Linked DNA regions of Mus musculus. The protein of the gene in region 1 purifies or fractionates together with the protein of each later gene. This does not show direct contact. Links are inferred from orthologs where the notes say so. Each region holds a gene or a part of one and is shown on either strand. Other genes may lie near its edges.

What was found. Proteins that work in one complex are often made in the same cells at the same time.
Region 2: the proteins of Ncbp2 (region 1) and Kpna3 purify together in Homo sapiens (co-immunoprecipitation; 3 studies listed by BioGRID and IntAct, with this or other methods). This does not show direct contact. The link is inferred for Mus musculus from reciprocal best matches to the Homo sapiens genes NCBP2 and KPNA3.

The regions. Positions count from the first base shown.
Region 1 is NC_000082.6:31,947,730-31,951,329, reverse strand, and holds the start of Ncbp2 (nuclear cap-binding protein subunit 2), read right to left. Parts: upstream 2,785-3,600; 5' UTR 2,681-2,784; coding exon 2,603-2,680; intron 1-2,602. Other genes in the region: 0610012G03Rik (hypothetical protein LOC106264), read left to right, coding at 2,882-3,169. UniProt on the Homo sapiens protein: Component of the cap-binding complex (CBC), which binds co-transcriptionally to the 5' cap of pre-mRNAs and is involved in various processes such as pre-mRNA splicing, translation regulation, nonsense-mediated mRNA decay, RNA-mediated gene silencing (RNAi) by microRNAs (miRNAs) and mRNA export.
Region 2 is NC_000080.6:61,391,389-61,395,116, reverse strand, and holds part of Kpna3 (importin subunit alpha-4), read left to right. Parts: intron 1-3,271; coding exon 3,272-3,361; intron 3,362-3,539; coding exon 3,540-3,569; intron 3,570-3,665; coding exon 3,666-3,718; intron 3,719-3,728. UniProt on the Homo sapiens protein: Functions in nuclear protein import as an adapter protein for nuclear receptor KPNB1. Binds specifically and directly to substrates containing either a simple or bipartite NLS motif.

The DNA of each region.
Region 1 (3,600 bases):
AGTAGCATGTGGACTTAACCACTGAACCATATCCCCAGCTCTGTGGTTTTATTTTTTAAGTTAGTTCATTTCTCTTTGTGTGTGTGTGGGGGGGGGGGGGGGCGGTGCACACCAGAATGTAGTAAGCCCTTGGTGGCCAGAGGTATCAGGATCCTTGAAACTGGTTGTAAGATACCCAATTCGCTAGGAACTGAACGGGGGTCCTCTGGTAGAGTAGTACTTGAGCCATCTCTCCAGCCTCTGATTTTTGAGACAGGATTTCATGTAGCTTTGGTTGCACTGAACCTGCTATGTTAACCAAGGGTGACATCGAACTTCTGATCCTCCTACCTCTACCTTCCAAGTACTGGGGTTACAGGCGTTCGCCACCACTCTGGGTTTATGTACAGCTCAAGATCCACCCAAGGGTTTCACACATGCAAGGCAAGCATTCTACCTACTGAGCTATGTCTACTCAGCCCAACTGTTCTGTTCTGGGTTTTGGGTTTTTTGTTTTTGTTTTGAGACAGGACCACATAGTCCAAGCTGCTTTCAAATTCCTGATAGTCTTACTACCATCTCCCTCAAATGCCTTGATAACAGGCATGGGCCATCACACCCATCTCCCAAGTTACAGTTTTTTTGGTTTGAGTTTAGTATTTTATGTGTATGGGTGTTTTGCCCGCACCCTGCATGTCTGTGCACCATGTGCCAGCCCAGTGCTTTCGGAAACCAGAATAGGGTATCAAATCTCCTGGCACTGGAGTTATAGATGTTTCGAGACATCATCTGGGTGCTGGGAATTGGCTCCAAGTCCTGCAGAACAGCCTGTGCTAACTTCTGAGCCAGCTCTCTAGCGCTCCAAGTTACAGTTTTAAAAACCAAGAACATGCAGCTATACACAAGAAAATAGTATTTCTGTCTGCCCCTGGGGAAGCTCAAAGGACTGCAGATCTGAGAGTTTTATTTCATTCTAAGGAATGTTATGAGGTAGGCCCTGATATATCATTCCCATTTTACACATGAGGAAAAACAATTGAGTCTCCTAGGATGAAACACTATATAGTAGCTTCAGCCAGAATTCAAACTCAGTATCGAGCTAAGCATGGTGGTGCACTGTTGCGGCCGTCTAGATTCCTCTCTTACAGCTTGAGTAGCCATATCAGTCGAACCGTTCATGTTGCGAGCTGCTGGTGGCCGCAACAGTGCACTCCTTTAATCCCAGCAGAAGCAGGTGGACCTCTGGTCAGTTCAAAGCCAGCCTGTTTTACATGGTGAGTTCCAGGTCAGCCAAGGCAATATAGTAAAACCTTGTCTCAAACAACAACAACATTATAATAAAATAAAAATTTTAAAAACCTCTGGTCTTATTCCCACTGCCACACTGTCTTAAGACTGTTACAGGACTGAACAGGTGAAGTCTATGGACCAACAGACACTGTGTTAAAAACAAACAAAAACAAGGTTTTAGAACTTTAGAGGAAACATCTGCTTTTTACCTGTGCAGGCTGATCTCAACCTTACGATATTTCTACTAGGACTACAGATGTCCAGCACCACACTTGGCTATCAGGTGCAGTTTGTACTGCAACTCTGTAAAACGCAGAGTCGATAACTTCACTGTAACTTAATTTCACACTTAACAATGCACTGACACACTGCATTTAGAATACACTAGAAAATGCACATGACACAAACTATTACTATCTGAAGAGAATTACGGGCTTTCTATGTATATGAGTACATTGTAGCTGTCGTCAGACACACCAGAAGAGGGCATCAGGTCCCATTACAGATGGTTGTGAGCCACCATGTGGTTGCTGGGAACTGAACTCGGGACCTCTGGAAAAGCAGACAGTGCTCTTAACCACTGAGTCATCTCTCCAGCCCCGAGTTACAGGCTTTTGACAGCAAATGAATGACTCCTCCCCTAGTTTTAATCTTTCAGTGTGCTTTAAATTCAAACTGGTTAGTTTTGATGTGGACCTGTTCAAAGCAATGAGAACTGTAGACGTGAAACTCTTAGCAGACACACAGCAAACATTTTAAAATTAGGCTAAATTTCTTTTTGTTTCTGTTTGTTTGTTTTTCGAGACAGAGCTTCTCTTCAGCCACTGGCTGTACTAGATTTTGTCATCCAAACAATCTTAAGGCGACTCGTGTGACTTGTCCCGATGCCCGTCAGACAGCCACAAACGGGAACCCAACTCTAAGTCTCCCACTTACTGCCAACTTTTTGTAGGGCTGTCTTACAGCAGAAAGGAACGAAGTACCAAAGGGCAGTGTTTAGCTTACTAAAAACAAAACCCGCTCTAGTGTCTGGTCAGTCGCCACAGGGATCCCTCCTCATTACAGTCCCTTTCCCAAGCAAGACAAGCCCATCAAACAGGGGCCACCGCCACATCTCCCCGGGTGCTGCAAGGACCTGTGAAATAAAGTGTTAGATGCCCTGGGAGATAAAGTGGCTTCGGTGACATTCATGCCCCGCTCGGAACCCCTTCGCATTTTGGGCCCCAGGAGATCAGGAGGGAAGACATAGTAAGACAAGTGTAAACCGTTTCTCCGTTTCTTAGAGCCCAAAGGCTCCCCATCTCGTGGCCCGGTCCGGCCTGGCCCGCCTCACCCGAAAGTGCTGGTCCCGGTACTCGCTGAGTTCCACGTAGGAGTCGCTGCGCAGCGCCTTCAGTAAGCCACCCGACATGATGCAGAAACACCAAACCCGACACGGCCACGGCCGGGAGAACCAAGCGGCGGGCGGCGGAAACGGAAATGCGGGCGGCGTGCTCCAGAACCACGGGGCGAGCCGTGTCGTCATCATACAGCGCCGGCTAGTCCGTCGTCGGGCGTGGCCGTCCGGAAGGCGAAGGCAGCGAGCGTCGGGTTCCGTGGCGCGGGGAGAGCCATGGTCTTCCGGCGGCTGCTGGCGGCCCTGCTGCACAACCCGCAGCTGGTGGAGCGGCTGTCCGAGTCGCGGCCCATCCGGCGGGCGGCGCAGCTCACAGCCTTCGCGCTGCTACAGCTACAGCTGCGCGGCCACGATGCAGCCCGCCGCCTGCGCGCCCTCGCGGATCAGCCGCCCGGTGCCCTGCGTCGCCGCGTCGTGAGGTTCAAGGACACTTTCACCGAGGAACTCCGCCGTGGCGTCCGGGACCGTCCAGGGCAGCAGAAGGGTCCGGGCGCCAAAGCGTAAGCACGGACTGGACCCTCCCGGGCCGAGGTCACGTACCCGTCCCTTCAGTGATCTACACCGACCTCAGCAGTCACGAGTCATCTCCAGGACGCTACGCTGCTTCGAATCCTAACTCGGATTGTCCTACAGATGCCTAAAGTCAAATGGACATGTGCCCGGTAGTCCTGCAGACGTAAAGACCTCGAGGCCCACCAGTGATAGAGAATCTAGACCATAACAGCACGACTGAGAGTCATGGACAATCAGAAAGCAAGCCTGCCGTCTGCAAGCAGGACTGAAGCTGAATTCCTGCTGCTGCATCTGCACTGGTGCAGGAGAATACCAGGGGAGCTTGTAAATGGAACGACAACCCCGAGGTTGCCAAAATCCTTCATTAAATGTGTAAGCTGATTAATAGTCTGAATGTGGTATTTCTCAGACAAGGAGGAATG
Region 2 (3,728 bases), on another chromosome or scaffold:
CCGTAGCCCAGTCTTCTGTTGTTCAGTGTTTCCCTGGTAGTTTGAGAAAGAGCAGTAAGAGAGGACGGTCTCCACCATCTGAGTACTTTCAAGCTCTCTAGTCTAATGCTCCTCTGCCAAGGCAGGCAGGTCACACCGCTCCACCTCTGCTCAGCACAGACTGTACTGCTGCAAGTGTGGAAACAGGGAGGGAGATCTTGTTTAACCACCTACACGTAGTGAGATAGATGGCAGGGTAGGTGTGGAGTACCCATGCTGAGTTCTAAAAACAAATTAATCAGGAGCGAAAAACTATTGTAATTTCTTTTTCCTTTTTTTGCAAGATAAAAGTAGTATTGTAGGTGAGTACTAGCAGCCATTCAAAGAAGCAAATAATTCCAGTTTGTTAAATGATTTCAGATGTAAGAAAAGAAGACACACTTCCCAGTTCCTTATGAAACAAGAAAAAAAAAACACCATCAGAGCATCAAATGATGCTTGTCATCCAGTTCCACTTGGGGAAAGAGAAGAACATTTTAAATAAAATCTTAATAAACTGAGTCCAATAATACATAATTTAGAAAAATTTTGGAATGTTTGTCCTTGAATTAAAAGGGTAGTTTAATGTTGAAAAATGGGTTATTTCATCCCCATTTGCAGAGGAAAGTGGGAAGTTGATAAAAGAGGAACATAATTTGGTAAAACTAAATATTCTCTCATGAATGAAAGGAAACCTAACAAGTTAGATATAGAAAGGTTCTTTCTGCTCTGTATGGTGGCATGTGCTTTTATCCTGGCACTCTGAAGGCAGAGGCAGCCACATCTCCTTGAGTTTGGGGCCAGTCTGGTATGCATAGCAAGTTAAACAGACCTATTGGGGGGTCTACTTACTCTACCTAGTGAGACACTGTCTCTCAAAATAAAATATCAGAAATGATCTTCCAAACTAGACAAGAGCATACTTAGCTGTATAACACATGGCTGTAGATAATGTCCAAGTACTGACCTAAGAGTGGGGAATGTATGTCTATACCTGGAAGAGCAGGAGTAATGGATAAGATTCCTGAAAGGCTTTGGAAGCGTAACTTTTCAGGTGCTAAGAAGCTGGACTAAACCAGCATGAAAATAGAAGGGATCAAGGTTAAAATAGTTTGGGGAAGAGGTATTATCTTAAGGTTTCTAACCACATGACTGAAACAGCCTGAGAGAAAGAGTTTATTTCATCTTCTAGCTTGCGTAGTCAATTATCTAGGGAAGTCATTAGGAACTGAAATGGAGGCCATAGAAGAGTGTTGCTTACTTACTGGTGTGTACCTTGTGGCTTGCTATCCTGCTTCCTTACAGTACCTGAGACCACCAACCCATGGGTAACATTTCTAGTGTTACCTAGACCCTCTGAAATTAACCATTAATCAAGACAGTGCCCCATAGTCTTGTCTCTAGACAAATCTCACGGAGGTATTTTCTTAACTGAGAGTTCCTGTAGTTTGTATCAAGTTGACAAAAAACTAGCTGGGGTTATAGTTGTACTGAAAGTTGATTTGTTTAAAGTTTTAAATGGAATAAGTTGTTAGCTTTTTGGAAACAATCTCAGATTTGTAGTTTGAAAGTTAAAGTTCAAAGAATAATACAAAACCACTGTGTATATCCTTGTGGCACCTAGTTTCTTTGGATTGTTAGCATTTTCGATATTTGCTTTATTTTCTTTTTAATTTATATGTTAACTCACAGTCATTTTCCTTTATGCCAGCTCTAGTAGGGTTTCCTATTGCCTTTAGTATATCAACTCATATTTCATAAAAAAGAGACTTATGTAATAGCACACTTACAAGATTAATGAGGATTATGTCTAATCAGTAGAGTCAACTTGTAATTTGCAAAGTCTAAGTCAAAAAGAGCCCATCCAAGATAGGTCCTGCATTTTTTTATGGTACTCTTTTTCAGTCTTTCTCATCATTAGTGACTGTATCTTTGAAGCATACAGGCTTTTTTTTTTTTTTTTTTTTTTTAAACCCTCGAAATGATAGATTAGGGTTAGTCTGATTTTTAGTAAGCAGTGCCAAAGGGATAGGGAGCACACAGTTAATTTGTCCTTTATTAATGGTAGTATATTTTGTCAGTTGGCCAGGAATGCCATCTGAAGGCTACATGTATGGCTTAGTGGTAGAGTGTTTGCCTAGCATTTGCAAAGCCCCAGGTTCAGTCCCTGGTAACCATCTCATAACAAAACAAAAATCAGACAGTGCCATCTACCATTTTTTTGTCACTGTATGTTAGCATGTGAGCATGTATTCTGTGTGAGGCCACTTGGGATTTATAAATATCAGTGGTGTTGCCATCTATGAAATATTGTAGTTTAATATATAACTAGGGTTGGTGATTTGTGTAGTTACTAAGAAAGAATGATGTTATAAAAGTGGGAATGTGCTAATGACTATATAAATGTCATTGTGTTTAAATGTGCTGGCTTATACACAGAATAAAAGTTGATGGTATGCACATGTGTGTGCAGTTTTCATTTTTTTAAATCCTAATTTTGCCATGAATATTGAGGCCTCTTTTAATAACTGCTATAATCAAATACATTCACAAATATTGGGCCACAAAATTACATTCAAATTTTAAGTTGAAAGGTTACTTGCTTTTAAATAATAATTTAAATAGCATAGTTAGCATTCTGAACAATTTGAGTGTCATAAAATGGAAGATGGGATGAATTCTTGTTTGTGAAATTCATGTACCAAGAGTTTAATCTGGGCTGGCAAGATGGTCAGGTAGTAAGCATACTTGCAGCTACTGGAGCACAAGTCTGACTATCTGGATCTCGTAATTGGAGAAGAGAGCCAAATTCCCAAAGTTTTTCTCTGACCTCTTCCATCTATGCAGTGTGCCTCATGCCCCTAATAGTAAAGATGCTGATGATAGTAGTAGTAGAAGAAGATAAATAAAAGTTTAGTCTGAAATGGTGCTAATTTAAGTGACATTTAATATATTTTTACTCCTCATACCCTCAACTTGGAGTGAGGCATTGCTATGTGTCCTTAAGCTGTTCTTATTGTCTTCTTAATAACTTCAGGCAGCTATTAGCAGTAGGTAGGTAGAAACTGCTTTACTGTACCCCAGGTAAACCCTTATAGTGTTGGTCAGGACAGGTGGTACTTAGTGAACTGGGGGTGGGATGACACAAAAGCAGTGGGGCTAAACCAGGCCATTGTTCATTTTGGCACCAAAGGCAGCTTCATTTTAACAACAGCCTTCATGAGTTCTTAAGCTTTCATTGATTGTCTTTCAGAACAAAAGAGACGAACACTTACTGAAAAAGAGAAATGTTCCCCAAGAAGAAAGCTTAGAAGATTCAGATGTTGATGCTGATTTTAAAGCAGTAAGTTGCCTGTGTGTTTATAATGTACCTCTAAATATTTTTGTTATAAAAAGGGGAGCATTAGTTTAAATTTAAGAAAAAAAAGATAATAGTGATAACAAGGCATGTTAAATCATTACCTGATAGACTAATAGTTTTGTTAATATTCTCTGCTGAACTATCTTTCTTTCTTTTTAAGCAAAATGTAACACTAGAAGCTATATTACAGGTATGTTATTAATTTAATACTGTCATTCTGAAATGTTTTGAAATAGTTTCTTTTTTTCTTCTTTTAAATGTCTGAAATATACACTTGTTGTTGCAGAATGCCACAAGTGATAATCCTGTAGTCCAGTTGAGTGCTGTGCAGGCAGCAAGGTAAGAGAAA